4 linked regions of the Yarrowia lipolytica genome follow. The protein of the gene in region 3 purifies or fractionates together with the protein of the main gene of each other region. This does not show direct contact. Links are inferred from orthologs where the notes say so. Each region holds a gene or a part of one and is shown on either strand. Other genes may lie near its edges. The genes, in order: YALI1_B02487g, YALI1_E40361g, YALI1_F12013g and YALI1_A17570g.

Evidence for each region.
Region 1: the proteins of YALI1_F12013g (region 3) and YALI1_B02487g purify together in Saccharomyces cerevisiae (affinity purification with western blotting; 3 studies listed by BioGRID, with this or other methods). This does not show direct contact. The link is inferred for Yarrowia lipolytica from reciprocal best matches to the Saccharomyces cerevisiae genes QCR2 and QCR9.
Region 2: the proteins of YALI1_F12013g (region 3) and YALI1_E40361g purify together in Saccharomyces cerevisiae (affinity purification with western blotting; 4 studies listed by BioGRID, with this or other methods). This does not show direct contact. The link is inferred for Yarrowia lipolytica from reciprocal best matches to the Saccharomyces cerevisiae genes QCR2 and QCR7.
Region 4: the proteins of YALI1_F12013g (region 3) and YALI1_A17570g purify together in Saccharomyces cerevisiae (affinity purification with western blotting; 4 studies listed by BioGRID, with this or other methods). This does not show direct contact. The link is inferred for Yarrowia lipolytica from reciprocal best matches to the Saccharomyces cerevisiae genes QCR2 and CYT1.

What each region holds. Positions count from the first base shown.
Region 1 is NC_090771.1:248,161-256,054, forward strand, and holds YALI1_B02487g (uncharacterized protein), read right to left. Parts: upstream 1,289-7,894; coding exon 1,286-1,288; intron 876-1,285; coding exon 738-875; intron 606-737; coding exon 537-605; downstream 1-536. Other genes in the region: YALI1_B02496g (uncharacterized protein), read left to right, coding at 1,474-2,349; YALI1_B02506g (uncharacterized protein), read left to right, coding at 2,481-3,611; YALI1_B02533g (uncharacterized protein), read right to left, coding at 4,039-5,184; YALI1_B02550g (uncharacterized protein), read left to right, coding at 6,902-7,894. UniProt on the Saccharomyces cerevisiae protein: Component of the ubiquinol-cytochrome c oxidoreductase, a multisubunit transmembrane complex that is part of the mitochondrial electron transport chain which drives oxidative phosphorylation.
Region 2 is NC_090774.1:4,033,318-4,041,162, forward strand, and holds YALI1_E40361g (uncharacterized protein), read right to left. Parts: upstream 3,328-7,845; coding exon 3,200-3,327; intron 2,854-3,199; coding exon 2,595-2,853; downstream 1-2,594. Other genes in the region: YALI1_E40327g (uncharacterized protein), read left to right, coding at 1-2,053; YALI1_E40394g (uncharacterized protein), read left to right, coding at 6,116-7,045; YALI1_E40422g (uncharacterized protein), read right to left, coding at 7,366-7,845. UniProt on the Saccharomyces cerevisiae protein: Component of the ubiquinol-cytochrome c oxidoreductase, a multisubunit transmembrane complex that is part of the mitochondrial electron transport chain which drives oxidative phosphorylation.
Region 3 is NC_090775.1:1,196,197-1,204,569, reverse strand, and holds YALI1_F12013g (uncharacterized protein), read left to right. Parts: upstream 1-3,266; coding exon 3,267-4,541; downstream 4,542-8,373. Other genes in the region: YALI1_F12033g (uncharacterized protein), read right to left, coding at 1-1,184; YALI1_F11956g (uncharacterized protein), read right to left, coding at 6,780-8,373. UniProt on the Saccharomyces cerevisiae protein: Component of the ubiquinol-cytochrome c oxidoreductase, a multisubunit transmembrane complex that is part of the mitochondrial electron transport chain which drives oxidative phosphorylation.
Region 4 is NC_090770.1:1,753,797-1,762,106, forward strand, and holds YALI1_A17570g (uncharacterized protein), read right to left. Parts: upstream 3,190-8,310; coding exon 2,116-3,189; downstream 1-2,115. Other genes in the region: YALI1_A17546g (uncharacterized protein), read right to left, coding at 139-843; YALI1_A17551g (uncharacterized protein), read right to left, coding at 979-1,335; YALI1_A17583g (uncharacterized protein), read left to right, coding at 4,550-6,340; YALI1_A17622g (uncharacterized protein), read right to left, coding at 6,592-8,310. UniProt on the Saccharomyces cerevisiae protein: Component of the ubiquinol-cytochrome c oxidoreductase, a multisubunit transmembrane complex that is part of the mitochondrial electron transport chain which drives oxidative phosphorylation.

The sequences.
Region 1 (7,894 bases), on a different chromosome or scaffold from region 3:
TTGTTTTTCTTTGTTTTTCTGCGAAATTTCAAGCGTTTTTCTGCACTTGAATACTCTTATCACCGCCCTGAACTCCACACCAGAGGACGTGGCGTAATGGTAGCGCATTGGATTTCGGTTCTTCGTGAACGACGTCCTCCAAAGGCTGCGGGTTCGAGTCCTGTCGTCCTCTCTTTTTGCCCATATATAGTCTTCTTTTTGCAGATTCTGGTGGGTATTTCTGGTGGAACATTTTTTTGTCTGCTTATATCAGCTTACTAATCCAAGTATTTAATTGGGGATCAGCTGAACTTAGTTGAGCTCAATAGTGAGCTGAGATCTCTCAAGTTCTGAACAAAACACAGGGAAGTAGATGGTTTTTCATTGTCGTGTTGGTAAGCATGTCATACAGAATCAGACCACTTGTCTTACTACACACTCATAAAAAATACATATTCTAATGCGCCTCAAATTTCCCCATGGTTACCCAAAGATGCCATCTCAATGGCCAATTCCACCCTTCAAGTAAATATCAGTTTTAATTATATGCGCGTCGATTACTCGTCATCCTCGTCATCGTCGCCAGCGGCCTCGATGTACTTGTGTCGGATATCCTTCCATTGTTTCTGAGTTAGTGCTGTCCGAAAAGACGCGGTTGTTATAGCAAAACTGCGAATGTCGTCAAAAAACAACAGCAGTGGCCTCGTCCTCTTTCATTCGGTACTCGGGCTGTGCCCTTGTATCTCGTTAATACTCACGCCAGCGTTGATTCTGTCCCAGAAGTTGTCGATGGCAGTCTCAAAGGTCATGTCAAAGACAAAAGCGGAAGCCAGGATGGTGGCCACGAAGGCCGAGTTTCGCTTCACGAAAACGTTGTAGAAAGTGGTAGCCCAGGCCTGAGTTAGTATGTTGATAGAAGCGTTGATTGGGTACTTTGGGGTGGTTTGAGGTGGTTTGGGGTGGTTTGTACAGTTGAGCAAGATAATGGATCGACTGACATATGGCGAGCTAACAGATACGTCGTTGGCTGTCATAAACCACATTTCCGTCGTCCGTCGTCTGTCTCTATCGTCCGTCTCTGTCGCCTATCTCCGTTGCTTCCCTCTGTCGCTTGCTTTCTCTTCTCTGTCACCTCGTTCGTTCCTCCTGTTCATGTCGTGATGCGTCTGTTGTGCTCTAGTGTCCACCACCAATGTCGCGATCAATCAGGCCCAATCCACGTGATCTGCCCATGTGCCTGCTCCAACACCTCGCCCTATCGTCGCCCTGCTTTTTCACGTCCCCCTGGCCGGTTTTCTCGACTCACCATTTTGATGCTGTGTAATATCTCAATGTGAGAACGTGTGAGATGAGACTGCAAAGCTTCTTGGGGTCCCAAAAGCGCGGGGCGTGATTGGCTGGTGGCCAGAAAGCTTATTACGATGTCCAGTAGTAAGACGCTTATTGTGGGACGACGATCGGGGTTAGGGTAGAGAGATATTGGGCGGGTGGAAAATGTTTAGAGTTACGTCTGTGAGTTCGATTCTGGGTTGGGACAAACAGATAAATCATTGGGGTGCACAACTAAGGCTGGGCTGGAGGCCAATCTGTGTCCAGTTTGCACACCTTCAGAACGCAGAACGGTACACGAGCAGTATGGCGTCCCTCACAGGAACATATGAAAAGGATGGAGAGAGAGTGGTGGGTGGAACAGTGCGATCTGACGGCAGTGTGAGACCGATTGCCAAGGTGCGGCCTGGATACATTGCCAAAGAAGATGTTCCAAAGTACAAGCCACGCGGGGCGAGAGAACGAGATGCCAGGTTGGGCATCGTGTCTGCTGAGAGTCCGATCGCTAGGGTGGAGACCCAAGCAAGTGGTGCTGACGACAACAAGTCGGCTATCAAGGCCCGAATCCAAGCTGCGAAGGCCGAGTTTGAGAGAAAGAAGCGCGAGAAGGAGAAGGGGCCACGGAAGGAAGAGAAGCAGATGGTGGAGGAGAGTGTGATATTCGACAACAGCGGCAAGAGCCCCGATGATATCAGCAACATGATTGCCGCTGTTGATAATCTGGATATCAGGTCGACTCCAGACACAACAGCACCAACAAAAACTTCAACCACCACAAGCAAGCTACAGTCGAAACACAAAAAGAGGGAGGACAAGACGGAAAGAAGCGATTCGACACAGATACAGGTCGAGTCTCAGGCGGAGTCGGAATCCAAGTCTCAGGTCGAGTCCCCGACCAATCTCACTACCACCCCACAAAGTACTCAGAGGATTCCTCTCAAGTCCAGACATGCTAGAAAGGCAGAGTCACCCACAGAGGAGAAGAGCTCAAACAATGCCAACAAAACCTCCGGGTACATTCCTCCACACAAAAGAAAGTAAAAAAGTAAAAATAGCAAAATATTTATTTCTCTATATATACAAGTACATACTGCAGCATATCGTACTCGGCATGCATATATATTTGACATGCTTAACTCAATCCATCTTGACCGAATCACCACCACAATGCAATGTATACGCCATACGGAACGCCAGTGAAGAACCGAAACCAGGGCAAGGGTCTCCGAAACGACTTTGCGTACGATAAAAATGGGCTCCGGCGGTTCCACGGCGCGTTTGAAGGCGGCTGGTCGGCCGGCTACTACAACACTGTAGGGTCACAAGAAGGATGGACCCCGCGGCAGTGGAGCAGCAGCAAGGACAGCGAGAGGGCGACGAACACGATAGAGGACTATGTTGACGACGAGGATGACCACAGGGAAAAAAGCCAGCGCGAAATCGTCAACGTCGGGCCTGGAATCTTGGCTAGGTGGAGCGACCAGAAGAATGGCTCCGGCTCCGGCTCCATGAGCGCTTTTGAAGTACTTCCCGAGACGCCAAAGGTGTATCAGGGCCCAGCAGGTATTGGGTATGAAGCTCGACTGGTAGATCCATCTGAGTCAGCACTTCAAACCACTCAGATCGGAACCAAGCGACTGACTATGGGCTCCACCAACAAGACCATTTCAATAGTCCCCGGGTCTGGCAAAAAACGGCCCCTACTGCTGGAAGATGAGGAGGAGGACGAACTTTATCCCGTGACCAAGTCTCTTCCTAAGCTGAGGAAAGACAGGGAAGATACGGGCAAGCCAAAGAGTGTGGTGAAACATAAGTTTTTGACCGCTGCACAGAGACAATTGATGGGAAAGAAAAGTTCTGGGACTGGTTCTGACTCGACAAACTCGTTTACCAAGCCAAGAACGGTCCTGTGTTCAGATGGAAAACTACCACTTCCAGGATTCTCCATTGTTCTGGTGTCCAATCCCGTGTACAAACAATACGGGCTCCATTCTACTCCTGTGACCCAGCAAACACTGCAGACCCAAGTTGATTCGTTTCTGGACTCTCTGAATTTTACTTTGGCGTCAGAGAACCCCTACAAGTCGAAATTGGACAGCAAGTTCCAGCTGGCGGGGAGTGCTGTTGAGGGTCCGAAGGAGGCAAGTGCGAGGACGGTGGTCCAAGAGTGGGTGCCATCAAAGCTGCTCTGTAAGCGAATGGGCATAAGGTATGAGAAGCCGAGGGAGGAGGATGTCAGGGAGGTTACGAGAGGTGGATTTGGAAGGGAGAAGATAGAAAAGCTGAGGAGGTTGTTTAGCTAGAACATCGAGTTTAGCGAAGCACTAATCAATTGGATCCTGAAGCTCTGAATACCTACTCGGTGCTCTGAGAAACTGCACACCTACTCGGAGCTCTGATAAACTACACACCAGAGCTATGTCGGAAGTTGACTGAAACAACTATGAAACCAATGACCTTGTACCATTATCACGGGCGTTCACCAATACCAGATTAATTGGTTTTGAGGCCTTACACATGAGGCACTGGGAGAACACACGATCCCGGGACTGTCTCTCTCAGACATTAATCTGCGTCAAGACGAAGTACTAAAGAGCTCTAACATGTCACGGCAACCAACCCCCCGCATCTTAGTCATAAATAAATTACTATACAGGTTTTGTATCGTACACCTCGCCAGCAGATTCCTCAGGGGCGTAGCACAGCTCATTCCTTCCAATGTCTCCATCACTAATAAGCGCTGTTCGGAAACATCACTGCCTTCAAGTTGTTCAAAAACCCCTTGTCGTAGATGTTAACAATCGGTTTATGGTCCGTCAGCAAGGTCAAGGCGAGACCATTCTGGGCAACGTACTCCCGCTCCTCCGCTGTCAGAGATCTGTTCGGTCGTCCCTCCTCGTCTTTCTGCAACAAAATGCTTCGATCAAGCTTGAAACCCGGCTTCTGAAACATCCATACACTGCCCTCGGAAATGGCAGCATGGATATCGCCCCATTTATCCGTTTCATTGGTGGTGGCTCCAAGGTAAATATAGTAGAAATGCATCGCTGTGAAGGCACAGGCTAGAGCACCGGTAGACACCGACAGCAGAAAGATAATCCCCACCCGTTTGTTCTCATTGGTGATCATGACCTGCCACCATTGCGAAAAGATACTTGGCAGCGGTTTGGGATGGTCCTTGTACTCCGCGGCCACCATGACAATCATTTTGAGGCCTGCCAGAAGAGCTCCCCAACACAGGGTCCAGACATTGCCCAGCAGGAAGAAGAGGAACCATCTGTAGTTGTACAGACCCACCGTGTTGTTGATCCAGAGACAATAGTGGTCGAACTTGGCAACGCACTTGTTGGTGAACCGGTCGTGCTTGGATCTTGCAGGCTTGGTGAACTTGCACGTGCTACATTCTGTGTCTTCCAGGAACATGAGGTTGTCAAACCTGAACTGGTTGAGCAGCAGGGCGTGGTTTTGTTTGGTGATTTTGCCGGGGTCCGAGAAGGTGGCAAGTACAAAAGATACAACCAGAATCGTGTAGGCCACAGGCGCCAGCCACGCGTAATACCAGTGATTTTCTGCGATGAACGGATGCAAATCTTCATAGTAGGCAGAGAACATGTAGGTCGTGAAGGCGCAGTAGAGAATGGGCACGGACCATGGAGCTGCGGGAGCAACCACAGAGCCGCAGAAGTCGCCCACTACCGAGAGACGGCCCCCACAGTACTTTGAGTCCCACGATCTGATGGCTGCCGGACGGTTGCTGAGCCATTTTCGGAACTTCCAGACCGCAGTGTCCTCGAATTGAGGCAACGCGCCGAACAAGAACACAAACGTGAACACGGAGATGGCCAGGATCGAGAGTAGGTAGATTTTGAGCCACATTGTGCAATGTTGGGTGTTGCAATGTGCTGGTGGTGAATGTCGAGATGCGTCAGATCTGTTCACTATGCAGAGTCATGTGACCGAACTTGGTTGTTTAAACAAAACAAAAGATGTGCATTTTACTTGGATAAAATATACGGAATATGCGGGATATACAGAGGTTGTTCAAGGCAGAAGAAATGACGATAATTGTATCATATTGTACCAAAAATGCATGCTTGAAATGCTCATGGGTGGCCATATCTCCTTCCGAAGACAGGCGTGTCCTTCAGCTCGCTATGGAGGTGATTTGGACACTTTCGTCTAGAATAACAATAATAATCATGATAATAAAAGTCTCTCCAGCACCTCGTCTTAACTGCTACTTGTAGTAGGTATTATTTTATGTCGTATCGAAGTGACAACACGACCGATTGGCCACCCAAAAGTACGTCACGGGACAACGCCGCTCTAGTTATCTTTGCAGCCATCGAGGGAGAAAGTAAATGCCACCTTGTGGTCAACATTCTAATGGGCTTAAAATGGCCTAATTTTTTTTCTTTCCCGAGTTGAGCAAGTTCATCTGTAGATCTATGCTGTTGGTGATGTCACACTGTACTGTAGTTAGTAATAACAATAATGTCAGCGGTGCTGGGTGACTCCTTCAACACTCGAGATGACTCGCAGGAAGAAAGAGACTCATTGCAAACAACCCGACCAGTCCCACACGGTCGATTTTCCTCTATTTTACTCTTTTTCCCGGAGAATTTCTTTTCCCATGATTCAACTTCGAGCTATTTCCTTTTTTTCTTTTTTTTTCCTTCTTTCCCCTTTTTTCCCTCTTTTCCCTTTTTTTCCTTTTTTCCTTCCTTTTTTTCTTTCTTTCTTTTCTAATGATCCGTTTTTAATTCTAAAGATCACCATTTTGGGACGTCCCAGCTCGTGCACCTTTAGCCCCGATCAGGACCTTAGACCACTACAATAAGCCCATACGTGTCCTTAGCGGGTCAGGAGTTCGATCCTCGACCGGAGTGGTTTGGTTTCTCACCAATTCGCGTCATTTCGGCGCTCTTGGCATGTCACAGCCGGTTATATATAGCTCAGCCAAGATTCACCCTGACAGCCCGAGGCAGCCATTCCGGAGAGAGATAGGAAAAAAGAGAGATAGAGAGAGAGCAAGTTGAGTACAGTGCGAGTGCAAGTAGCTACCGGCACGGCCTGAAGGAAAAAGGCTACATCAAAACCGTGTCCTTTACGAGATCCACAGCTACAAGTTCTGCCACACTCTGATTTCATCCCATTACTCCGAAAGCTGTATCTCTCTGACATAATTTTTTAATTTTTATTTTTAATTTTTATTTTTTAAATATTTTATTTCTACAATGTACAGTACTGTAGTTAGTTTTCTCCGTACTGTACTGTACTTGCCCTTGATGTGGTATATCCAATAAAACAGCACTTGATACAGCCTGAGAGCTACAAAAAAGCTGTCAAGACTATCATATCCATCCTGGACCATTCTAGACCTGTCCAGACGTCCCCAGACCACTTCACGTGACCGCTATCCTCCTCTCCACGTGACCTCCCACTCTCAATGTGTCCCGGTATATGTTATCCCCTCTGCGCTATTACATGCACCATCTGCATACTCCCAATCACCACTATCGTGCAGGACTCCACTCGGTGAACACCACACAACTGCAACTACACCTTTTGAGCTACTCGTGCCAGTGGAGCCATGTCGTTTCTCACCTCGCTCAAAAACAAGGCGCTGGAGCTGTTTGAGCCGGAAACCTCGTCCGGCGTCATCCAGACCGCCGCCGATACAGCGCAATTTTCCGACTACAAACGCCGACTCAACAAGGACGAAAAGTTCCGGCTTCAATTTAGTCTGCCGGACTCGCAGAAGCTGCTGGCGGATATCAGCGTCGAGGTTGCGCTTCAGAACGCAGAAAACCCGCCCGTCAACCCGGGCCAGGCGGCCCGCTCGGAATCTCTCATTGAGTTCTCCAACGTCATCTACCAGGGCAAGCTGTACCTGTCGGACTCGTTTTTGTGCTTCACAGCCACCGACGCGCGTCAATGCTCGTTTGCGCTGCCCCTGCTGACGGTCAAACGGGTCGAGCGACTCCCGCTCAAGTCGTACCTCTTTGCGCTGTCCATCAAGACATACAACGGCCTGACGCTCGTCATCCAGTTCATCGGCATCAAGTCCGCCTGCGACCGCTTTTCGCTCGCCCTCAAGGCCCAATTGGGCAAGAACCTTGCCAAGATCAAGTCTCTCAAGCCCTTCCTCGCCACCCTGTACTCGGAGTACTTGTTGAACGTAATTTCTTCCGGCCAAAAGGGCGACGCTCCCCCTCCACCACTGGGAGGTCTCGGACAGGTGTTCCGATACCCCGGAGACGCCAAAAAGCTGCGGGATAAGTCCAAGATGCGCCTGTGGCTCGAGTACTTCCAGACGCATGGACGCAACCTGACTTTGGTGAGACAACAGACCTTCTACAAACTCATCCGAGTGGGTCTGCCCAACCGACTGAGAGGCGAAATTTGGGAACTCACGTCGGGGTCGTTGTACCTGCGTCTCGCCCACCAGAGCATGTACAACGACCTGCTTGAGGAGTACGAAGGAAAAACTTCTCAGGCCACAGAAGAGATTGAAAAGGATCTCAATCGATCTCTGCCGGAGTACTCAGCTTACCAAGACGAGGAGGGTATCGCCAGACTGAGA
Region 2 (7,845 bases), on a different chromosome or scaffold from region 3:
CAACGTCAAGGCAGATATTTGGTCGCTTGGTATCACGCTCTATGAAATTGCAACAGGCTCCCCTCCCCTGTCCGACCAGGAGGCAATGAGGGCCATTTTTCTGATCCCCAGAAACAAACCCGCAAGATTGGAAGGATCCCAGTACTCAGCGGCCCTCAAGGAAATTGTCGCACTATGTCTGGACGAACTGCCTGACGAACGACCCTCAGCAGAGGAGCTGTCAAAAACCAAGTTTGTCAGAGGCTCAAAGGGTATCCCAACATCGACCATCAAAGACCTCATTTCAAGATATATGCACTGGAGGGAACACAACAAGTCACGTGATTCGATGGCTGTATATAACCGGCATTCCATTGGGTCTGAAGAGGATATTGTGGACCATTCGGACGACTTTCGGTGGGACTTCGACACATCCACTGCGCCTGATGATGCTCGTGTGGAGGTTCATAATGGCCAGATGGACTTCAGGCCAGAACCCACACATGCCTACAGAGATATTGGCGAGATGGGTACCCAAGTCCTGTTGCAGAGCACTGTCTCTGCCTCTGAGGTCTTGGAACAGAGATATGAGCAGCAGCAGGGACTACAACAAGGCCAACTACACGATCTTACGACAGCTACTAACACGATGACTGTGCCTCAGGAAGAAGAGGAGCCACATCCACTTCTGGAGCTGTTTGTGGACGAAAACGAACCTCCTGCCCCTCCTGCCCCTCCTGCCCCTCCTGCCCATGCTCCTATGCCTGCTCGTCCCGAGCTGTCTTCCTCAATGTCTCTACCTACCGTTCCCACTCAAAAGACTCAAATGGCGTCTATGGCTCCAACTCTCAACGATCTAAGAGAGGAAGGCGAGCCTCCAGGGGTACCTCCCATGGCCATGTCTCGTCGTAAGACTCTTGGACGGGGTTCCAAGATGGGAGCTTCTCCCGAGAAAGATCATCCCCAACCTCCTCCTCTTCAGCATTCACACAGTTTCGCACAGACCCAAGGCCAAGGTCAGAATCTCAATCAAACCACCCATTCAGGCCAGGCAACTCACCCCGGTCTAGGAGGTTTGCCTCAAGTGCAGCAGCCGCCTCAGCTACAGCAACAACTTCCTCCTCAGATAAAACAGCCCCCTCATCAAATACAGCATCCACAGCCACCGCTGATGCCCCAATTGCATCAGACAATGCCTCCTGTGCCTCACACACAACCTCCTCCCTCTCAGATGCCGCCTCTCCCACAGCAGCAGCCTCCACAACAGCCATTGGCTCCCCCACCTTTAATGGCACAGGCTCCGCCGCCCCCGACACCAATGCATCACTCCTCCGCGTCGCTGGCCGCGGTAGCAGCTGCGAAGTCAGCTATCAATTCGGCCAACCCTTCTTCTGGGGCATCTCTGGCTGCCCCTCATCAGGTTTACCCCAAGAGAACGCCCTCTCCCATTCGGGGCAGTCCTCCACCCGTGAAACGGCCTTCCAGCCCTCCTCCGCAGTTCCACAGACCCTCTATCTCGTCGGTGTCGTCCATCTCATCAGCAGCAGCTTCTCCCTCTGCAGCTTCGCCTGTGATGAGCCACAAGTCGTCTGTGTCTTCTGAAGACGGCGGCCATGCTTCTCCTCCGTTGATACCTCGTTCCGAGAACCCCCAGCTGGCTACCCGGTCAGCTTCTGTTCCTGACGTGGTTATGCCTCGCTCAGACGTTAATGGAAAGTCCCCTGCGTTCAACACCGAGAAGCCCGCCAAACTGCGAAACGTCAACCTGCAGATCAAAATGCCTCCGGCACAAGCCCCGCCCATGCCCGATGCATTCATGACCCCTGCCCGCAAGGAAGACTACACGCCCAGTCTTAATGTTCCGTCTCAGCCTTCGTCGCGTCGTCCTTCTCGGGCTGCCCAAACCCAGCCGCCCGTTCAATCCACTCTGCAGTTCCCTCCCATTCCCAAAATTGATCTGTCGGTGCTGCTGGACCCTGCTCCTCACGCCGATGTCACTCGGGAGCTGGAGAAGCTGCTTACCTCTTTTGGAGACGCTCTCAAGGTGATGGAGGACGGCTTCTCATCACTCTAAGCATTTACTCCCCCACGGTATTAATTATATAGCCTGCTAACATTCATTAGATGATAAGTGAACGATTTACAAGCTAGTACAAGTAGTTGGAGTAGGATATGATTGTGTGGAACTGGCGTATTTCCTATCCTCTGACTAAAACGAGTTACCTATTCCTAAGTCATTTCTCCATTAAATTGTGTGATCCTTAGTTTGGAAATTTGGTTAAAACAAATTTAAGTTTTGTTCACACAAATTGACCAATATTATGATCGGTGATTCGGACAGTGCGTGAAAATCGTCCCATTTGTAATAAGTAATCAACCACGCAACAGTGACCCTAAAGACAGCAATTTGGTCAGCACAAACGGGGGCATTAATTTTAGAGAGATTAATGCGTCAATGCCAACAGAACTCTCAATACGCACCAATCGTTCTGTGTTCTAAACCCCTTACAATCTTCAACACTACATGTGCCAGATACAATACACGGACTACAAGTACTGACATCCATACCTACCCTCTCGTACCTAATAATCATGTATTGTTAGAGCTTTTATGCCTACTTTCGCTTAACAACCTCGAGGTTGTCAAGAGCATCCTTCTCAAAAGCCTCAGCCTCAACGTCGAGGATGTAAGGAATGAGGTAGTGGTCGTCCTCCTCAGGCTTGGTGATGTCGTTACCAGTGGCAAGCTTGTGAGACAGAGAGAACTGAGTGGCTCGGATGAGTCGGTAGACTCGGTCGTAAGACTCGGTGGGAGGGAGTCGTCGGAGAGCGAGCTGCATGTTGGGGGTTTCCTCAATGATCAGATCGTTCATCCTGGGGTTAGTATTTGCTCACGCACAAGTTGATGCACACCCATCAATCAACAATTCCAGCAATATCTACAGTTGAGCGTCGGGGGATTCCTTTCTGAGTCGGTTTTTGTGGTCTTCCAGTGTCGCTGTGTCACTTCCGTATCAATGGTGTTTTGACCCTGAAATATCTCTTACGTCGTCGCGTTTAAGGGCACATTTCGCGTGTCGTAGAAACGCAGAAACGCCTTGAAACTGGTGTCGCAAAAGCCGAAATCGTCCATAATCTTTCCCATTCACTCGTACTGTCGATGCTGCGCAACTGTCGTTGGGGTGTGTCGCTGGAGGGCGTTGTTTTCCTTGATACTCACTTGAAACCAAGCTGTCGGTATCCGGAGAACTTGACATAGGTCTTGGCAAGAGGAACAACAATCTTGCTGAGGAGAGGAGACTTGAGGATAAGCTCGCTAGTCTTCACGACGGAGGTGATTGAAGCCATGGTTGCTGTGTTGTGTAAGTAGTTGGTGCACTCTGCGATCTTTTCTACACTCAAAGTGTATTTCCACTGGTCAGGATTTTGTCCTTATTCTATTGGCTAATGGCCCGAGGGCTTGGGAGGATGCAGTGTGCAGGTTTTGCGGAAGTCTCCCCTAACCCTGTTCGCTGTGTTGGGACAAGTTCTAAGCACGTGACCTGAAAAAATGTTGACTCCACTCATTCGGCTCGTAATTTCGAAGAGAATACAGCACCATGGTCATTTTGCTCAATTCGTATGTGTCAAACGTCCTCATCTGCCACCTTTGCCTTCTGGATCGACTGCAGCCAGCGTCCTTATCCCTTGCCTGCATGAGTGTCCACTGATAATGATACCACACCAGAAAACAAAGAGGTAGGCGTGTCATTCTCAACTCTAATGTTGATTAGGTGCATGGCAGGGCGGGTGTGTCCCCCCCACTTGTCGCTTCAGGTCTACTGACTAGCCACGTCCCAAAAGTATATAAGGAAGCCCAATCGCGCTCTTGCTGTCTTCTTCTTCTTCTTTTTCTTCTTCAGAAGTCGATCCCTCCGCCGCCAGACTGGCAACTGTACCGGTTGTCGGGTCCTTCTGTGACAGTGCTGAGCCCGCTGAAAAGCACCAGGCTCCTGTCAAGGCCTTTCCAGGAACGAGCTTGGCCGCCGTACCTGACGTAATACTACCTGACCGAGTGTGGTCAGCAGAGTGCTTTGGGAACATGCCCAACTGGAGTCGCTAAGAAGCTGCGCTCTGGGAGTTTACCGGTTAAGAGCTGTGTTGCAGCCCCTAAGGGAATGTGTCTAAAAAATGACCTTACCATAGCGAAGAGCGATATGATGCCTGAGCCCTGTGAGCCAGAGCAGAAGTGCCACCGACCGACAGAGAGAGAATGCCTTGAGCCCGTGTCTCGACGCGTCTTCGAGCCTGTGATCTCGACCGACTACCAAGGGGGAGGAAGTTCAGCTATGCTAAACCCTGGAGCCGGAACTTTTTACAGAGGGGAGTGCCGCTTAACAATGACCGAGCAGAGAGCCGTTTGGAAATGAATGTGCCGCCATAGGGAGCCAAGTCGTCGAGAGACCGCCAGTCAGAGGAAGCCAAGATCTAGAAAGACGCCATATCAAGTGATTATAAGAGCCACCAGCAACGAGAGCCGCTATAGAGAGATATTTTGAGTCAAAGACCCATTGCGAGAGCCCGAGTGTCCGTGCGAGAGAGAGCCATGTGTGTGTATGAGCCTGAGAAGCCGAGTCCGAGAGTGCCCGTGGGAGCCCCAATTAGTTACAGAACCGTACAAGTACAGAGGGAGAAAAAGAGCCCGAGTCCGATACAGAAGACCAGAGCCGCCAAAATTGATATAGCCAAGAGCCAGAGCCCGTTAGATCATTGAGAATCGAGACGCTGCCCGTGCCGCTTTTATACAGAGGAGTCGCGAATCCGGAAAGCAAAGAGCCCGTTGCCCTGTCGGAAACACAGAAGAGATAGTTGTAGGATAGGAACTACTCAACTCGCATTAGATAGTATTAGGAGGACGTACGCTGGTACTCAGCCGAACCTCCGGGGTTAATACGATTGGACCATCGAGTCCCATCCCCTATATTTGAGACTTGTAGTGTGTATGGTTGTAGAGTAGTTAGTTGTACTTGTAGGAATTGTGTGTTGTGAAGATTTGTAGCAATCTCTCAACAGGAACACACGTATCCTTTACGGTACTTCTGGGCTCTATCCACTATGTACATACTGTAGTAAGGTTCTTATCTGCGATGGGTCTAAGAACTCTACTTGTAAGATGAGCTATATATTATTACTAGCGACAGGTAGCTACTTTCACATCATTAAATGTGATTCTGGAAGAACTCATGGGGCCTGAGGGCGAAAACCTTGCCGTAGATGTCCATGTTGTTGGAACCCTTGATCTTGTTCCAGTAGCAACGCCAGGCAGCGCACTCTTCCTTGTGGGAGGCTTCCGTCTTGGGACCCAGAGAATGGTGCCCATCAATGTCGCCGTTCTTGATTTGAACAGTTTGAGCGTCAGTATATGTAAGAGGCAGAGTCAGCGTCTTTAATCTTGCTGTCCCAGATCAATGTTGTCAGTAGAAACAGTACATTGGGTACCAATGGCATTGATTCGGGGATATATATTAGCAACAATGGCGATATCCCCACTGGCGCAGATATCCTTTGCACCAAACTTTTCAGCGTCGACAGAGGATTCACAAGATAATCGACATGGCCCTAATCTCGACAGTTCGAACGAACAAGTACAGTGCTGTAGGGCTTCTCGAGGTATCGGCGCTCACCGGTAAACTCGCCCTGGAAGGAGACCAAGGCAATGGTGCCAAGGCCATCCTCGGCTAGTTTCTTGGCGTAGGTTTCAGTGGTTCGTGGTAGGTGAATGCTACCGCTGGCGTTTGTGATCTTCATCTTCGATCTATTGTCACCTGCAGGCCCTTCATATAAATGATAGCCCAAGTTTACAAGGCTTACTACAAATATCAAATGAACCACTTGTATAAGCAGCACTTGTATGTACTGTAGCTACAGTATACTGCAAAATCCGCTCGAGACAGTCTTATAATACAAGGTTTCGATAACAGGCAGCCGTTGGGTTAATTCTATGTAGTGAGGTGATTAACGATTAAGGCAGGCGGGGAAAGAGTTAGAAATGTTCGTTCATCCCCATGTGTCAATTCATACATAAGACCACAGTGGAACCCCTGTCATTCACTCAATCCATCAATACAAACTACACTACCGACTCACAACAAGAAAAATGTCCACTCAGAAGAACGTCACCTACAAGAACCTCAACGGCAACGGAATCACACAGTCAGCCATTGTCTTCTTCCCTCCCAACTTCCAGGAGTCTCAGAAGTACTCTTCTATCATCGTTGGCCACCCCGCTGGAGGTGTCAAGGAACAGACTGCCAGCATATACGCCGAAAAGCTTGCTGCAGGTGGTTTCGTGACCATTGCTTACGATGCTTCCTACCAGGGAGACTCCACAGGAGAGCCTCGATTCCTCGAAGACCCTTACATTCGAACCGAAGACAATTCTGCAGCAGTCGACTACCTCACGACCCTGCCTTATATCGACAACCTGAACATTGGTGTCCTTGGTATCTGTGCCTCTGGTGGCTACGTCGTGAACGCTGCCATCAACGACAAGCGAATCAAGGCTGTCGGTACCGTGTCTGGTGTGAACATTGGAAACATGTACCGAGCGGGATGGACCGGGGATGCCTCTGGCGTCGCTCTCGCTACCCTTCAGCTGGGTGACCAGGCTAGAACCGACGAGGCCGATGGCGGAGAGACTGCCTACATGCCCTTTGCTCCCGAGAAGGTTGAGGACGCCCCTGTCCCTGAACTCCGAGATGCATATGACTACTACCGAACATCCCGAGCCCAGAAGACTAATTGTCCTTCCAAGTTCACTGTTAGATCTATCAACCAACTTGTCACCTATGACGCCTTCAACCTCGCTAAGGACTTTCTTACTCAGCCCCTTCTCATGATTGCTGGTAGCGAGGCCGGAACCAAGTTCTACTCGGTCGACCTTGTTAAGGATGTGAAGGGTGTTAGCCAGGACGCTCAGACTTATATTGTCGAGGGTTCTAACCACTTTGATCTTTATGACAAGTCCAAGCAGGTGGATGAGGCTGTCTCTCAACTCCTCCCCTTCTACGAGAAGTACTTGAAGTAGAGTGACTACCGTATGTACTCGATACAAGTACAGTATGTACCTAAGCTAATATCTACAGTATATCCAAGAGAATTTCCAATCTACAAGTAACTAGCCTAACGTTACTACTTTGTAGCTACAAGTAGTGTAAATACATCTATAACTGACTATGCGATACAACATTCTGTACCTAGTTCAAGCTAGTCTATACGCTTTCCGCTATCGCCTACAGAACTCGAGCACAAACGGTGCAATATGTACATCATTACCTATGCTTCATCATTTGTTAGTCTACTTGGAGTTTATAAATAGTATCGTGTCGTAGTCCGACCAGAAACGGGTTAGTCATAACTGGCGGCAGCCTGTCGTCTTAGAAAGGGACTGGGAGCTTCGTCCCATTGGTCGATGTAGGTTCTCTTGGCTGGTCGTTTGACGGCGGCTGGGGTTTTGAATCCAGCGTAGACAGCGTGGAAATGCGGGGCAGCACGCTGCTTGGATGCAGACTTGTCCGAGTCATGGGACGAGCCAGACGAGGTCAATGATGGGTTAGAGGCGTTGGTTAAAGGCAGCTCCTCAAGAGGCTTGAGAGGAGTGCGTTTGAGAGGGGTAGAGATAGCCAGCCCTCGAGGACCCTTGACGTGCTTGATTGGTGTAAGCTGAGAAGGAGAGAAAGACATGGAGATGTCTCGGGGAGAAGATCGGTGGGCAGTAGGAGAGATGGGTGGCGGAGGGGTTGGAGCGGGCAAGTCTGCAAGGGCCTGCCGGACCCTTCGTTCCACCTCTTGCTCAACAACAGACTCCAGTTCGCTCTGAATGTTGTT
Region 3 (8,373 bases):
ACTGCTGTTGCTAAAGCAACGCCCGACAACTCCTCTTCCATATCTTCTTCAACGTCCACCTCCTTCTCGTCATAGTCTCCAGTCTTTGTATATCCCTCTTCAGTCTTGACTCGTTTGCTCTGCGGCCGGGGAGAAACGGATCGTGATCCCTTTCCTCGCGGTCTAAGACCGTCCAGGCGAGGATCGATTGTCTTGGCAATCTCCATCGACGTGATGTTGAATTCAGCGCCTGGAGAAGTGTCTTGAGTGCAAGAATGCAGACGGCCAACGTACTTGCTGAGACACTGTCTGTAGACCTCGGCCGCCGTCTTGCCACATCGCTCCTCGGCCAGCTTGGCCAGCTCCTCGTTTCGCGCAATCACCAGAAACTTGTCGGGATTGGCACACAGCACGGCCTGGTGGTCGAGCTTCTCGGCGCGGTTCAGGACAGGGACGCCCTTAGTTCGGGCCACAGAGCCCGACACAAATCCCAGATTCAGCGAGTTGCGCTCCTCCTGCATGCGCTCGAGCTCCGTTTTGGCGCTTACCGCAGCCTGGTTCTTTCGGGCAGACTCGGCCATGGACAGAGGCAGTTTACTGAGGTGGTCTCTGAACATGCGTGCGTAGAGATCTGTCTCGGGCTTGAACTGCCACGCCTGTACGGGCACCAGAAACCGTTTGCGCAGCATCACCGCGATACTGGCCTCCACGCTGTCTCGGTCGTGCTCGGGGGTGGCTTCCAGGTAGTCGGCCACCCGCATGTGTCCGTACACGAGCAGGTTCTGGGCAATCTCGGCACACCTCTCGCCCGACTCGGGGTTGCTTTTGCCGCCGGGGCCCTTGCCGAAGTCCTTTCGCACCGCATCCACCATGCCGCCAGCCCGCACCACCTGGTAAATCTCCTTCCAGTTGGCCACGTAATGGATGGAGCTGGACTCGCCAATGTCGTCTGTATCTCGCCCGGATTTGCGGTCGTTGGCCCAGTACAGCACAAAGCGGTTCTGCACCAGCGCCGCCAGACCACTGTGCACCGCTGACAGCGGCAGTTTGGTGGTTTTGGCGAGCTCAGCAGCCGTCTGACGCCCATAGTCCAGAAGAGACCCCACCAGAACCGCCGATAGCTCGCCGTATATGCCCTTGAGAAGCACGCGGCACAGATCGAACAGAGCCCGCGAAGACTGGTCCGGGTTGTGCAGCTCGCTCATAGTTGGTGTGTGTTTGTGAAGTTGGTTAGTAAAAAATCCCCCAGTAGAGTTCAACTTTCGACAAGATTTTTTTCACTGCATCATGCACCTATGGGTGGTGGAGGGGAGTAGAGGGTTGGGGTTGGGAGGCTGTTATTCGGGGGATTAAGGGAGTTCGGAAGGTTGTCGTGGACACGTGATCTTGCATGTGGCGTGTATTTTCCCTTTAATTGCACCGCTGACTAAACATGGTGGAGCCTACACTACAAGGACATGTAGCTATGGACATGTTGTTTAGGGAGTGTAAGATGGGATGTGAAAGGGGGATGAGGAAAACATACAACTACTTGTAGTATGACTGTATATTCAGATGACGACCAAAAAAATAGATCATATTTCTACGCTTTTCCTGTTTTTTCCTTTTTTTCCCCAAATTTTTCCATCTCAATCTGCCAATTCATCTCCCGTCAACTTTCATCACAGCGCATACAATATGCATGCACGTTCTTTTTTATATTTTATATATATGTTTTATATTTTTATATATGTTTTATATATTTTTATTCCAGGATGCGTGAGTAAAACGGGGATAAAACGGGAAAAAAACGGGAGTAAAACGGGAGTAAAACGGGAGTTAAAACGGGAGTAAAACGGGAGTAGGAGGTGAACCACGGGCTACAGGGAGGTCACGAGCTACAGTGTATTCGATATCGGGCTGACTTCATTTCTAAAAAGTCAGATTATGAGTGTCTGTTATATACAATATATGTTCACCAGAGTCAAGTCCTCCAACTGGCTGAATTTTGACCGTAGAAAGCTGAAATTTGACACAGACATACTGGAGACACAGAGCAGACGGGAACAGCGATTTCTCTCCTTATACATCTACACCAACGAGGTATACGACACCCCAAAACAAGCCACTTTCACAACTCTAACCACCTTGGGCATGCATGTTTGAAAAAAACAATCTATGGTGATGAACATGACTGGGTAGGGAAAGAATGGGATAAAAATGAGTCAAATCAGATTCAAGATTGGTATTGTCGGGGAACACGGCGGAGGGGCCCATGTGACCAAATTTCAGCAAGACCCGATCCAAGTAGCGCCCACAAGGGGGACCTTTTAGTCATACCGGTCAATGCAACTCCAGAATCAGAGGTGAACAATCAGAGGAATTGTTATAAGAAGATGTCGATAGAAATGTCTCCGTCCAGCCAAGTCGACGACATGTTAAACTCCCGAGAACCTCTTTCTGTGGCCCCATCAGGCTAACTTTGGATGCGGACTCAAATACAGTCACAACTCGTGTTACAGTAGTCAGAAACGACTTGCGAAAACACCAATGTACTCCCACAATTCCAAGGGTCACAATGGTATACTCAACTCGTCCTCAAACCGCCCTCACTGTTGCAGAATCCCCGTCGCCAATTGCCCTCGATCCCATTTGCCAACTTTGCATCAACTGTAAACAAACTCGGAGATTTGACAAACTTGGAGATTTTTTAGATGCACGACCAACGTCATATTGAGGGAGATACGGCGAGGCGGGGGGAAGAGGTCACGTGGATGGACAGACCACGTGACCATTGCCACTCGGTACACGCCGACTCCATAGCCAGAGTTCGTCTATTCACGTGATCTGTCTCAAATACTACGCTGCTCAAACGGCTCATAATTTTGTATGTACAATGATGATTTGCGTGATTCGAGTGATTCGAGTGATTCGAATGATTCGAGTAATTCGGAAACAACACCACACAGTGCACGATTGAGACGGGCGGCGCGGACGAGGGGCAGATCACGTGACCGACCGGGTCCAATTGAGCTCCGCTGGCGGAAAAAAGACGGATATATCTTGGCGACCGCGCGCTCCAGTCGTCTCCTCCTGGTCGATGGTCTGATGCTGAGGAGTCCCAACCACGCGCTGCCCTAACCCTCGCACTCCACAACCAATCAAAACCGACGCTTTGAATGTCTTTTTGGCAAAAAAGGTTAATGTGCGCTCGCACAAATCACACCCAATAGTCAGTTCACCAACCACCCAGAACTAACCCCTTCACAACACAACACCCCCCCAAACCCCACACAAAAACAACCACAATGTTGTCTGCCCGATCCTCCATGACTCGGGGTGTTCCCCGACTGGCCGTTGCCGCCCGACACTTCTCCACCGCCGAGGCTGCCGGCGTCAAGGTCGCTGCCCAGGACGGCCAGTCCCCCATCTCGGACCTGTCTGTGGTGCTGCGAGGTGGTTCTCGATACGCCACCGTGCCCGGCGTGTCGCACATTCTGGAGAAGTTTGCCTTCCAGAACACGGTGCCCAAGTCTGCTCTGCGATTCGTCCGAGAGCTGGAGCTGTTTGGCGGCAAGCTCTACACCCACACCACACGAGAGCACATTGTGCTGCGAACCCAGTTCCTCAAGCAGGATCTGCCCTACTTTGTCGACGCCTTTGCCAACGTGCTGAAGGAGACCAAGTTCCAGCAGTTTGAGCTCACCGAGCGAGTCGCTCCCGTGGCCGAGCTCGACCTCCTCAAGCGAGAGTCGGACCCTGCCTTCACTGCCCTCGAGGCTGCCCACGAGGTTGCCTTCCGAACCGGCCTCGGAAACTCCGTCTACGCCCAGGGCTACTCCCCCGTCACCCTCGAGGACGTCAAGGAGTTTGCCCGACAGGTCTACGCCAAGCAGAACGTTGCTGTTGTCGGCAACAACGTGGTCCCCGCCGATCTGCAGCAGCTGGTCGGCACCGCCTTTGCCGACCTGCAGGAGGGCTCCAAGGTGACCCAGGCCGGCACCACCACTCTCCACGGCGGTGAAGCCCGAGTCCGAACCTCCACCGGCAACGCTCTGACCATCGCCCTGCCCATTGCCGAGCCCAAGCCCGTCTACCACGCCCTGGCCTCCTTCCTCGGCGGCCCCGCCTCCATGCCCTGGTCCGTCGGCGCCTCTCCTCTCGCCCAGGCCACCGTTGGCACCCACACCTCCGTCAAGGCCACCTACCACAACTACGGAGACGCCGGCCTCTTCGCCATCACCATCAAGGGCGACTCCCCCGCAGAGATCTCCCAGGTGGCCCACAAGGCCGTCCAGGCCCTCAAGGACACTGGCGCCGAGGTGACCGAGGAGCAGGCTGCTCGAGCATACGCAAAGTCCAAGTTTGCCGCCGCTGAGGCCTTTGAAAACCCCGACTCCTCCGCATCCGTCATTGGCATGGAGCTTCTGTCCGGAGTCTCCCGAATCGCCCCCGAGAACGTGCAGAAGTTCACTCCTGCCGAGCTCTCCGAGGCCGCCGCCCAGCTGTCTGCCAGCGCCAAGCCTGTTGTTGCTGCCGTTGGCCAGGTCCACGCTCTTCCTTTCGCCGACGAGCTTTTTTAAGCGGTAGGTTAGCATAATAAAACTAGATATTGACGACCCTCTACTGGCGCGCAGTATCATCCTTGCGACGCTGTCACGAGCATGATCTTGCGGCAGTATATGGGAGCAGACGTAGACTACGTTGCGAGTGCCACGGTCACTAGTGATGTATGTACACGTAGGGTGACGATGTTATCGTAGAGTGATACCAGTGACGGGTCCGATGATACCGGTGACAAGAAAGAATGTGGTGGGTATGACCGCGATGGGAAAGAGTGTCAGGATGTAGTGTGGACTGTGTGTATCGTCATGAGATGCTTCCATGAACTACGCTCTGAAGTGGTCTTGTCGAGTGTTGTTGCAGGGAGGAAGTTCATTTGGAGACGAGAGATTTGTGGGAGAAGATAATAACGGGTTGATCTTGTTTCATCAGGGGATAGAGCAAGTAGAGGCGTGAGGGGTCTGTAGAACTGAGGGTATTGGTCTCATCGGGGGTATCCATGGTAATCTGGGTGTACCGTTCGACATCTGGCTTGTGTCTGGTGCCAATACTGACTATCATTATTGGAAATCTGATTGTGGCAGTGAAGGCGGTAGGGTATCAGTTTGTGGAGAACGAAGGGTGGCTGAGGGCTGGCTGTGATGCTGTTGAGGAAGTTGTCTGAAGAGGTCAGAGGAGGTCAGAAGAGGTCGACTCTCAACTAGTCGCTTGAAAAGCACATAGACAGTTCACTTCCGGTTCACTTCTGTTCACCTCGGTTCACTTCTGATACACTGGCGGTCAATATCTCAGTGTCTGTTGGCGAAGGTGCTGTGATTGGCGACTTGTGGAGTTCAGAAGGAGTCTGAGTGAAGGCCAGGGAGGCTGTCGTGATAAGGCTGGAGGCCGGATACATGGGTTGAGTGGAGTGGAGGAAGTTGTCTCAAGTTCCACTGAGATAATTGGATTGTTTATGGTCATTGTAGTACGAGGAGTACGACAGCCATAAAGGGTATGGATTGGTGTCGGTTGAGAAAGAAGAGATAGTATGAACCGAGGCCGAGGCACCAGGTGATATGGAGAGGTACATCTGCCAATTGAAAGGCGAAAACATATTGATATGAAGATTAGATGCTCTGACAATGTTTACTTTTCTCATATTGTCACTTCTCATACTCTTTCTCATGTTAACTTCTCACACTATTCACTTCTCATGTTCCCTCTACCATCTACCTCTCCTCAAAAGACTCAAGGATAACCTGGCCATGTTTCATCCCAACAACAAACGTCCTCACTCGCGGCTCTTCCCTCTTTTCTTTTCTCTTTCTCTTGCCATCCAGCCGCTCGCCAGAGTCATCTTCGGACCGGACCCCCGCCCCTTCCTGGGCCACATCTTCCTCCGGAACAAGGCGATTAACGAGATCCAAAAGCCGCTGACGTGCTGCCATGGGCGACATTCGAGAAGTGTAGTCTTCAAACTCCTCGGATTCCAGCAACGTGCTCGATAGGCGAGTTCTCACCTCGTGCTCATCCCTCTGAGTAGAGGCAGTGGACAATCTGCTGGTGGAGGCGTTCGAAATGGTGCTGGAGACGGTGCTGTGATTGGTTTCACTGGCCTCGTCGTCTCCTTCCTCATACGCATCAAGAGGGTCAATTTCCGAGTACATTTGACGACACGTTCAAAACTTTGGTCCTACACAAGACGCAAAAGAGTATCTACCAGGCAATATCCATGGCGATGGAGACATGGAGAGTTCAAAAGTGGGATTTATGGACATGGAAAAACCAGATTCGGGTGTTGTTCCTGTAATTGTATGGTTTCAAGTGCTACTTTATGGGGTTCAAGATGACCGTAGATATGCGCTGCAGAGTCATGATAGACATTTGGAAGGAAGAATAATCAAACGACGAAACTCGAAAAAACTAAAGGATTCGAATGATTGAGTTGTTTTAGTTCCTGAGACCCATTCAATCAACTGTTGGAGACTGCGAACCCTCTCACAAGTACCATACTTCCCTTCATGACCACATGGTGAACACAAGAAACAACAATATAGACCCGATGAAACACCCATCACCTTCCATCCACCACATCTTCCCATATCCAGCTAATAACGACGGTAGCAAGGAGCAATGAGCTGAAGAAACAACAATCAATTACATATAGTATGTACAAGATATGCATTATATACAATGTGGAAGAGAAGCGGCCACCAATAGCTCACTGAGTGGGCTCACTTATTGGCTATGCGTAGTAGACTAGATGGAGGATCCAATCACTACTCTTTCTTCTTGAGCGAAGGAACAGGGAAAAACAAATGATATCCGCTCTTAACCACATCCACCTTGTAGTCGTTGACATCATTCTTCTTCATCTTCAACGAGGCCAAATTGATGGAAATGCCCATAGTCGATCGCTGGAGCAGCTGGACCTGGGGCTCTCTCTTCACATCCGTCTGCTTCACCACAGCATCGACCATCTTTTTCAACTCGTTGGTGGTTCGAGTAGCAATGGCAAAAATGTCGTCGACAGACAGAGCGTCCAGCTGATCAGTGGTGGACTCCTTGAACTGGCTGTAGTTGACAAGAGCAGGCACTCCCACGGACGAAAACGGCTTGAGACGAAGCGCGTACATGAGATCGGCGGTGGTGTACTTGATTTGGGGATGCTGAATGAGTCCAAATCGGTCGTAAAGATACATGAGCAGCATGGAGCATTTGCAGAGATCGGCGAGAGCAGAAGACTCGACAGTCATGGATTGGGTCAACATGGTCGCCTTGTTGATATCTTCCAGCTGAAGCATGGTAGTGGGAACCTCTTTGGGTCCAGAAGCACCTCCCTTCTTGCCCTTCTTCTTGTTCTTCTTGTTGAAAGTCTGGGACATTTGAGCGTTATCGGCGTAAACACAGAGATAGTACCGAACTCGCTCCAGGTACTGCTTTCGCTGCAAGGAGAGATACTCACAGTACCAGCTCATGAAGCCCCACTCGTGCAGCTTGTACACGTCGAGTTCAAAGCCCAGAAGAGCAGTCCAGATCATGACCTGGAGTTTTCGCAGCATGACCCAAGAAGTGATGGGCATGGCGTTCATCTTCTGGCCAGCACCCATATCGATTCGATCAGGCTCCACCAGCTCTTCCAGTTGCGTTTCCAGGTTCTCCGCCATCACTTGCAGTCCGTCCCACGTGACCACGGCGTGCGAAAGCACCTGGCGCTGTCTGGACCGGTTGAGCACGAGAATGCCAAACAGATCCGAGTATGCCATGTCTGCCTCTGCCAGAAATGGAGCTGTCAGTTCCGCAACGGCAGAATCAGATGTGGTCAGGACATACTGACCCCAGCCGGTTGCACAGGTGTTTTCAATCATATCTTTGACGACCCACTCTCGCACGGGTTTGCCCAGGAGAGCAAACTGTTCGCCATCAATGATCTGGGTGTGCATGTATGCTCGAGTGAAGGGCTTGGTGTTGAGGGCGGAAAACTTGACCATGAAGCCCAGAAACTCGGCGGAGGAGGTCACCGAGGCAACGTCGCCGCAGCTAATGATCTCGTCCATGGCTGCCACGAAATCCGAGACTGCTTCCGACGGTTTCATTCGCACCAGGTTTCTGGGAGGAGCATCATTCTGAACTCGACCCTGGATTTCATTAGTGAACGATTTCTCCAGGGGGGTTTCAGAATCTGAAACGGTGATGGTCTCAGCCAACCTCTTGGCCTGTTTGGCGGCAGCAATACTTCCGTCGAGTTTCCTGGCCAGAGTCAGAGCTCCAAGCTGGGTAATCTCTTTTCTCAGCTTCAGACGGTCCACAATGGCGTGAGCAAACTCGCTCTTCTGCGTCTGAACCCACCCAATGGCGCTATCCATCAGCGAC
Region 4 (8,310 bases), on a different chromosome or scaffold from region 3:
TTTCTATATTTCTATACTTGTTCACTATTCCTTTGACCAGGTAGATGACAACAGTCTAAACTGGACTATATCGTGAAAAAAACCAAAAGACTACATCACAATACTTTTATTACAACTAATATACACATCCCCCTTCTCTCAGAATCCGTCCTTCTCGAATTGGTCGCCTTTCATCAACTCCTTGATGCGTGCAACATATGCGTCGAACAAAGGATTTTGGACCACATCCACAATGTGGTTCTCCATAGCTTGCGTGTCAGTCAGCCATTCGGGGTCCTCGGTCTGTGTTCCTCTGCTGACCATCCCATTCCCGCTCCGAACGTCTGTATCTGCAGGGGTAAAGTGCTTCTTCCACGACTTGGCTCTTTTCGGAGAGTTGGGGGGCGAGCTGACAGGAGAAGCCCCCAAAGAAGGCATATCGTCAACGGTGCGTTTCCACGTAGAAGTCTCAGAGAATCTCCTTGGCTGCGACAATGGGGTTGGCTTCACCGGCAGATAGGACTGCGACGACGATGGTGCTAGCCTCGCAGACCGAGAGTGCTTGAATTGGTATGGGGGAGATGCTTGCGACGAACTGGGGGGATCAACAAAAGTCTGGCTCATAACTGGAGGCTCAGTAGCTGGACCAGGAGGTTGGGTGGGAGAGAGGGTTTGAGACTGGAGAAAGGGATCAATCTGGGTGAGGTCGCCATCATCATCTTCTCCGTTCCACTGAGACTCTGGGTTGAAGTTTTTGAAGGAGGTCAGGGTGGCACCTTCAGTCCTGGTAGACTTGGGAGGGCTACCCTTGATACACACTCCCGCCTTTGATAGCATTTCCACTGCCCGGTCGTATTCGTCCATGTACGCGAATTTGATTTGAAAGCGATAAGTCTTGGTTAGCTGGAAAAGGATATCTCAGGGTATCATGTTAGGGTATTGCTGCGTTGGCGTTGAAGGTATCAATAATATTGTAATGTGGACAACCACTTGCGTCGCTCATTCGTAACCGACTCGTGGAACACTCACCATGGTATGGAATCTCCTCACCAAGTACTTGAAACCAATCCCTGGCGGTCTACAAATGGCCACAAACGGCGGGTTGTTCTTTCCGTAGGTGGATCCGAACCGCTCCTCAATCTCGTCTGTGTCAACATGCTCCAAAGAGGTGTTTTTGTATTTGAGGGAAATTTTCGCGCCCCCGGCGGGCGTGGTATCAATGGAGAGCTCTAGGGGCGAGTTTTGGTATTTGGTCCATTCGGACGCGTCGCGGTCAATGCTGCTGCTAGCCAGTCCCTGCGGAGTCGGCGCGTTTTTGTGCAGATAGATGTATTTGCTGATCCTGAATGTCGCCATGGTTTTGGTGGTATCAGTGGAGAAAAAGGGGGTGGAGAAAAGAGGTGGGAATGAAATTTCGGGTTAAGATGAATGTTTTTTTTTTTGTACATGACAATGTGCATGTTGTGTGGGGTTAGAGTTGGTATTTAAACCGCGAGATGCCCACTCCCTCGACTGACCCAGACGATTCTCTCAATTGGTCTCAGCGGAGGAGGTGGCGCTCCCAGCTGTGAATGGTGCTATACAACCTCGGGGTTGGTTCCACTTCCTCCAAGTCCAACTTGTCACTGGCTGACTCAACGAGGGTACTTAGCTTCACAGTCCTTCCTCCAGTCCTTCCTCAGTAGATGGACACCAGAAGACACCATGCCAGTCGCGGCTTACAAAGCAGCAGATGGAGTCAAGAACACTCCAACGAATACTGTGCTATTCAGTGATCACAACACAGTCCAACTGTCCTGGTCTATCTACAGCACGCGCACTTGTTGCCTGTGGTGTACCCGTACAGTCCGAGGTATCATTCGCTTTCTTTTACATCCTGTCACGCCCTCTACAGACCAATCTACAATCCTGGCAACTGAGAACTCAATCTCAATCTACAATCCTAGCTACAGCTCAGTCGTCATCCTAAGCTCACTGGAAAGTCTTGGGCTTCCTCGGTGACCTCGGTGACTCCTCAATGACTTCCTCGTCAACGTACTCAAACTCATACGCCCACTCACAGGCCGACGGCTTTTTTCTCGTCGGCCCACGCGTGGACTGCTTCGTGTCAATTGTTTTAGTTCATTAACTATGCATCTAGTTCTTGGGGGGGTTGTAGATAAACTTTCGGTTCTTGATGGGGGACCACTTGAACTTCTTGATGTAGACCGACAGTCCAAGCATGGCGGAAATGACAATGATGGCCTTGAGACCAAGCTTCTTTCGCTCGTCATGCTCAGGCTCGGCAGCCCAGGTCAGGAAGGCAGCGACATCCTTGGCCATCTGGGAGGTGGTGGCGGGAGTGCCGTCCTCGTACTCGACAACACCGTCGAACAGAGTTCGGGCCATACCAATGCCTCCTCCGGGGAAGTAGGGGTTGTAGTTCATTCCGGGGGCGAGCACGACGCCGGCAGGAGGCTCGTCGGGGTAGCCGGTCAGCAGAGCAAAAATGTAGTCGGCACCTCCGTGTCGGGCCTTGGCAATGAGGGACAGATCCGGGGGAAGAGCTCCCTGGTTGGCGGCTCGGGCAGCCTGCTCGTTAGGGTAGGGGCCGGGAATGTAGTCGGCGAGCTTTCCGGGTCGCTTTCGGGGGTTACCCTCATCATCGGGCTCGTCGTCGTACTCGAGCTCCTCAGCGAAAGCCTTGGCCTCATCGGTGGTGTGGGTCACGCCCACGAGGTTTCGCCAGGCGATTCGGTCCAGAGAGTGGCAGGCGGCGCAGACCTCCTTGTAGACCTGGTAGCCTCGTCGCAGAGAGGCGTGGTCAAAGGTGGAGAGCATGCCATTCTGGGGCCAGGGGTACTCCGCTGGGTGGAGACCGTGCTCAGCGGCGGTCATGGCCTCAGCCTTGGTTGTGTAGTAGTAGGTGGTGGTGGCACCGGCACACACGGCGGAGGAGATTCCGAGCAGGGCCTGTCGAAGGGGGATTGCTTTGAACATCTGCGTTAGTATGGGTGTGTGATGATTGTTGATGGGCGGGTTTTGATTGGTTGGGACGGGGCAAGTGACGCAAGACCGGGGTGACAATGAGACCCACAGACGTGACACACGTCGATTCTCGGGCCACACGCCAATTCGCCGTCGTCGCATTTCGCTGCGAATGTAGTTTCTCGGTCGCAATGTCGATGCTCTTGTTGCTGCTGCAGTTGCGTTGGGTGTGCTGTCCCACATTGTGGTCGGCGTGTCGCACTTTGGGATCGATCCTTGTCGTCATCTCTCCTCCTCACCGACACGGAATCGCGCCACATGCCCAGAGTCGTGGTTTCACCTGGCCTTGTCGTCCCAGTCCTCTTTTCCTTTTCTCCCTCTCCGTGTCACTTGTCTCGTCTCTCCTTGCGGTAATACTCAGAACATGACCACCTCAACACCAGTGCCAACACCACCTGGACCCACTGGCAATTGATCGGTGACATGGCTCCAGTCGTCGTCCGCGCCCCAGCGCCCCAGCGCCCCCATTGCCGATACTCACCCTGGATATCGGTTACAAAAGTGGTGACAAACCTTTTGATGGAAGAGTGTAGCAGGCCGAGTTAACGTACTTGGGTGGTAAAAAATGCGGGAGCAGGATTAAGCGCACCTGTGATTGGCTGATTTCTAAATGTGGTTTGGGACTTGTGTTGTCGTGCAAAGAGGGTGCTGCCATTGGTCTTTGGAGTTTAAACGGGGCCAAATGGGGAGGCCGTGGGTCTTTGTGTCCCCACAAATTTATCTATATAAACCCTCTTTGCGCCCCCGAATCGACCGCCGCCATTGCCCACTCCATCACCCTCTTCCTCTACACCCATTCCACCCTATTTTTCAACTCCACTCAAACACGCCAATTTCCACCGCCTTTCTCCCAACCAATGACAATTAGCGTATAATAAAAGAACCCTAACCCATATGCTCGCCGGTTGCCCAATATGACTTTAGCCTCGAAACCATAATATGGTATGATCTGGAGGCGTTGGATATTGTAGGGGGACATGAGACTGCAACGCCGAATGACACAATGTCGAGCAAACTAACTCATAATCTGAATTGTAACGAACGAGGAGTTATACAGGTCCTAACCTGTGCTATACAGCTCCCCCAATAAAGTTCATTAACAGCTCATAATCTGTACAATCAAAGGTTCAACCGCCCAGTCCATGCATGCATGTCCTCATCGACATTTACTATTGTACATTTCATATACAATATTACAATGTTGCTCTCCTTAAACATTGCCCGTTCTCAGGACGATTACTAAGCCGACTTATTGAACTCTATTTCTGGTTTTCAAGCACAGGTCGCCCAAAAGAACAAAATATAATTTCAGACTATTTCTTAAACATGACGAAACTTGACATTTCTGGTACCGTTCGAATCGTACATTTCTCCCCGACATCGCCGCACCGTTCATTTGGCCCCATCTCGTGTTCCCGAACACCTGCCCCATTTACCATTGTCACCACAAAAGCTTATTTTCGGGAAAAGTTTATCCAGCTGTCATAATATCCCAGGACTGTGGAACCCCCTTCAAACCAGCACAACACGGTATCTGCGGCAAATGAACAATAATGCGCCGGCCATCGTGCGGTCGCTGGCTCTTTTGAACTCGCTTCGAGACCGCACCGATCTGTTATCGCGGCAGCTGGAAGATTTGACGTCCAAATGCTCCTCCGACCCCGACGCGTATCCTCTGTCTTCACTGTCGGTTCGACGAGAGATATCGAGCATCTACAACCAACTGACGATGCTGCAGCACAATAGTGCGGTGAAAGCTGCTGACGTGGCCCGTTTGGTTGAGGGCGAATTGGCTAAGGGCCGCCAAGCTTTACGCGTTTTGGCCAGTGGAGAAGATGGAGACCAGGTGGTCCGAGAGGCGGACACGAGCGACACAAGGGACAACCACGACATACATGGAGTACGCGCACAAAGACAGGATACACAAGGAGCTATACCCCAGGTTGCCTTTGAACTTCCACCGGAGGTTTTGAATGGAGACACCAATGGAGTGTTGGAGGAGGATGACAGGGGACATGTTGAGAAGGAATTGCAAGCCTCGTCGGAACAGGAGTTGGAGGAGGCAGAGGAAACAGCTACTGCAGCAGCACAATCGGAACAGACCAACGGAAGTGTGCAAGAGGTGGATGAGCCTGTGGAGGGTGTTGGGGCTGACGAGGAGCCAGTTGAAGAACCAGTTGAAGAACCAGTTGAAGAACCAGTTGAAGAACCAGTTGAAGAACCAGTTGAACAGGTTACTGAAACCCCAATCACGGAGGAAGTGCGGTCACCGAAGAAGAAAAAGTCCGGCAAGTCGCTAAAGAAGAAGGAGAAACGGTCAGAGGCGTTACCCGAGTCTCCGCCAGACAGCATACCCGCGTCTCTTTCTGTGAATTCTCCCCCCCCAGCAGATGTGTCAGCTACAACCGCATCGGAAGAAGCTATTCCTCTGATTCCGTCAACGCCTCCAGACGACGAGGACAAGAAGCAGCACAGCAAGAATTCTCGACGCCGCAAGCGCGACAACCGCATTTTGCATGAGCTCAGCTCGTTGGATATTGTCAATGTCAACGAGGAGGCCTCCAAGAGAAGGAAGAGAAGGAGGTCAGAGGTAGAAGTGGAGGAGAAGGAGAGTGTGGGTGGGGAGAATAAGCAGGAACACGAGGAGGAAGAGGAAAATGAGGAGGAAGAGGAAAATAAGGAGGAAGAGGAAAATAAGGAGGAAGAGGAAAATAAGGAGGAAGAGGAAAATGAGGAGGAAGAAGAAAATGAGGAAGAAGAGGAGGCCACCGAAGAAGGCGAGGTTGAAACTACTCCTGAAGTGGACACTGAAGCTCAAGATGAAACGGTTCCCTCTCAATCAAAAGTCCCACCTGTGGCTGATGATGTGGTCGCTTCTCCTCCCGCAAAACGCCGAAGAACAAGGTCCCAGAGCTCTTCCAAGGAAAAGCCTCTAAACCCTATTAAAGAGGTGGTTGAAGAGGCGGTCGAGGAGGATACTAAAGAGGAGGACAAGGAAGGTCTTGGAGAGGCGAAATCCACAGCAAACAGACGATTGCCACCCCCTACACCGCCCGTGGAAGACGTGTTTTGCACGTGTCGAAAGGGCTCGCAGGGCCGCATGATTGCGTGCGACTCGCCAAAGTGCAAAACGGAGTGGTTCCACATGAAGTGCGTGGGGCTCAAACACCCACCTCGAGGCGACTGGTACTGCGACGCGTGCGCCAAGATCCGGGCTGACCGCAAGGCCCGCAAGAAGGAGCTGGGTGCAAAGAACAAGATGTCGAAACAGGCTAAAAAGGCCCAGGAGGAGGGAACCGAAGCATCTCGACCGAGGCGGACGAGGAAGAGGTAACTTCAGTGTCACCGAGTGCCCACACCAGTAGTTTTGGCCATGAGAACTGCTTCAATACTCACCGCTCGCGCATCCCACATATTTATTACCATCATTATAAGTTATATTAGTCTAGTTAATTTTGATTGAATCATCTATCCAATATATTAGTGTATATAAGCAGAGCGCAGGTGCCGGGCTGCGATGTATGGTGCGATTATTTGCGTTGTATAAAACGTCGAGCTGCACAATTACTCGCTCAGCACATGGTATTACTGCCACATTCCGGGCTCACACATGTACAACCACGAGTAGGCGACAAAACTGCCACACACGCCTATGGCAGAGTACACGGACATGATCATGAGACCCAGAAACTCCATATTGGGTCGTCCGTCCAGAATAACAGACAGAGCTACCACGGGAACAAATCCCATCTGGTAGAAGAAGGAGGCTCGGTCAAGCAGAAACTCGCGCGTGGTGATGCTGTTGCGGTGGTCCGACACCAGCCGGTGGTTGAACCACAAAAAGTACATACAGAACCACGCAAACGTGTACAGAATCTTGACCATAAACTCGGCTGACGTGTAGATGAGCGGGAAGAGCGAAATGTAGCCGGAGATGGTCAGGGGGATGAACACCAGCAGCAGCCGCTTGTCTCGTAGCACCACAAACGTGAAGGGAATAATGATCATCAAGATGGCCTTCTCATGGACATGCCATCCAAACAAGAATGACGCGTACGCGCAGTAGGTGATGGCACCCACAAATCGCGCGTACGTGGGTTTCATCAGAAGGGGCCCCAGACCCAGGAGCTGGTAGAAGAGGGTGAGGAAGAACGTGGTTGAAGGAGACACGTTGGGCAACACACCAAACGCAACGTCTCCCACAATGCCTCTAGTGCCTCCAGAGACGGCTCCTCGGCCCTTCATGACCGTCACAGCCACCTTGTCTGCAAACGAGTACAGCGCCCAGAAGTTGGGGGCCCAGTAGGCGTGGGTGAGTCCTCGGGAGAAGGGGAATAGGCGCGACTTGAGATTTTCGAGCTGTCCAAATGCCACAAACGGCCCGAAACAGACAGTGAAAGTGCCCACAACAATGAGACCGAGCAGCACGGTGTCTCTGAAGTTGATTCTCAGGCTTTTGAACGAGTTTCCGGGGATGACCACGACACGAAGAAGATAGACAAAGTAGGCCGGCGCCAGGTAGAGGTAGATATGTTTGAAGCACAGCAAAATGGCAAACAGCGCTCCGCAGAGGAGCGGCTGGCCGTTTCGAGCTGCCACCATGCTGGCAATCATGATTCCGTACATGAAGCCGTTGTACTGAAAGTGGATATGGTCGATGATGAGCAGTCCGGGAGAGAGCACGACCGAGGAGGCGACGGCAAAGGCCCGCAACTTGGCAGTGGGCTTTGTTTTTGTGGCGGCCAGCTCGGGGTGTTCCGATAGCGACGAGTCTGCGTCTTCTGTTTCCTCCTTAGACTCCTTGATGGTTGACAGCTTTCGGGTGACTCCGGCGTGGCTGCCCTTGGTGTTGAGGTTCTGCCGGTCCTCCACCGACGAGTTGACGTACCACTGGCACGCCACAAACAGCAGAATCTCCGACACAATGACGGTGATGCGTTGGTAGGCAATGGTGGGCATGCCGTAGGAGCCCTTGGCCACCAGGTCCAGCGCGCCGTCCTCAACGACGCTAGCAGGACACAGATGCGACAGCACCCATTCAAAGTATGCAAAGAAGGGCGGATAGTCGAGCGTCCACTCGCTGACGGTGTTTGTGTACCACTCTCGCACCGGCAGGTGGTAGGTGATGGCCATCCAGTTGCGGTGGACCTCAAAGTCCGTGGAGTGGTACGCCGAGAACAGCAGCAGCTTCAGACAACAGCCTGCCACAAAGACCGACGTTAGGGAGAGCGGCATGGTCCTGGAATGTGCACAATGTCGAGGTTTCAGGTGTGTGACGTTGAGCTGACGCGTGTACTGTACCCC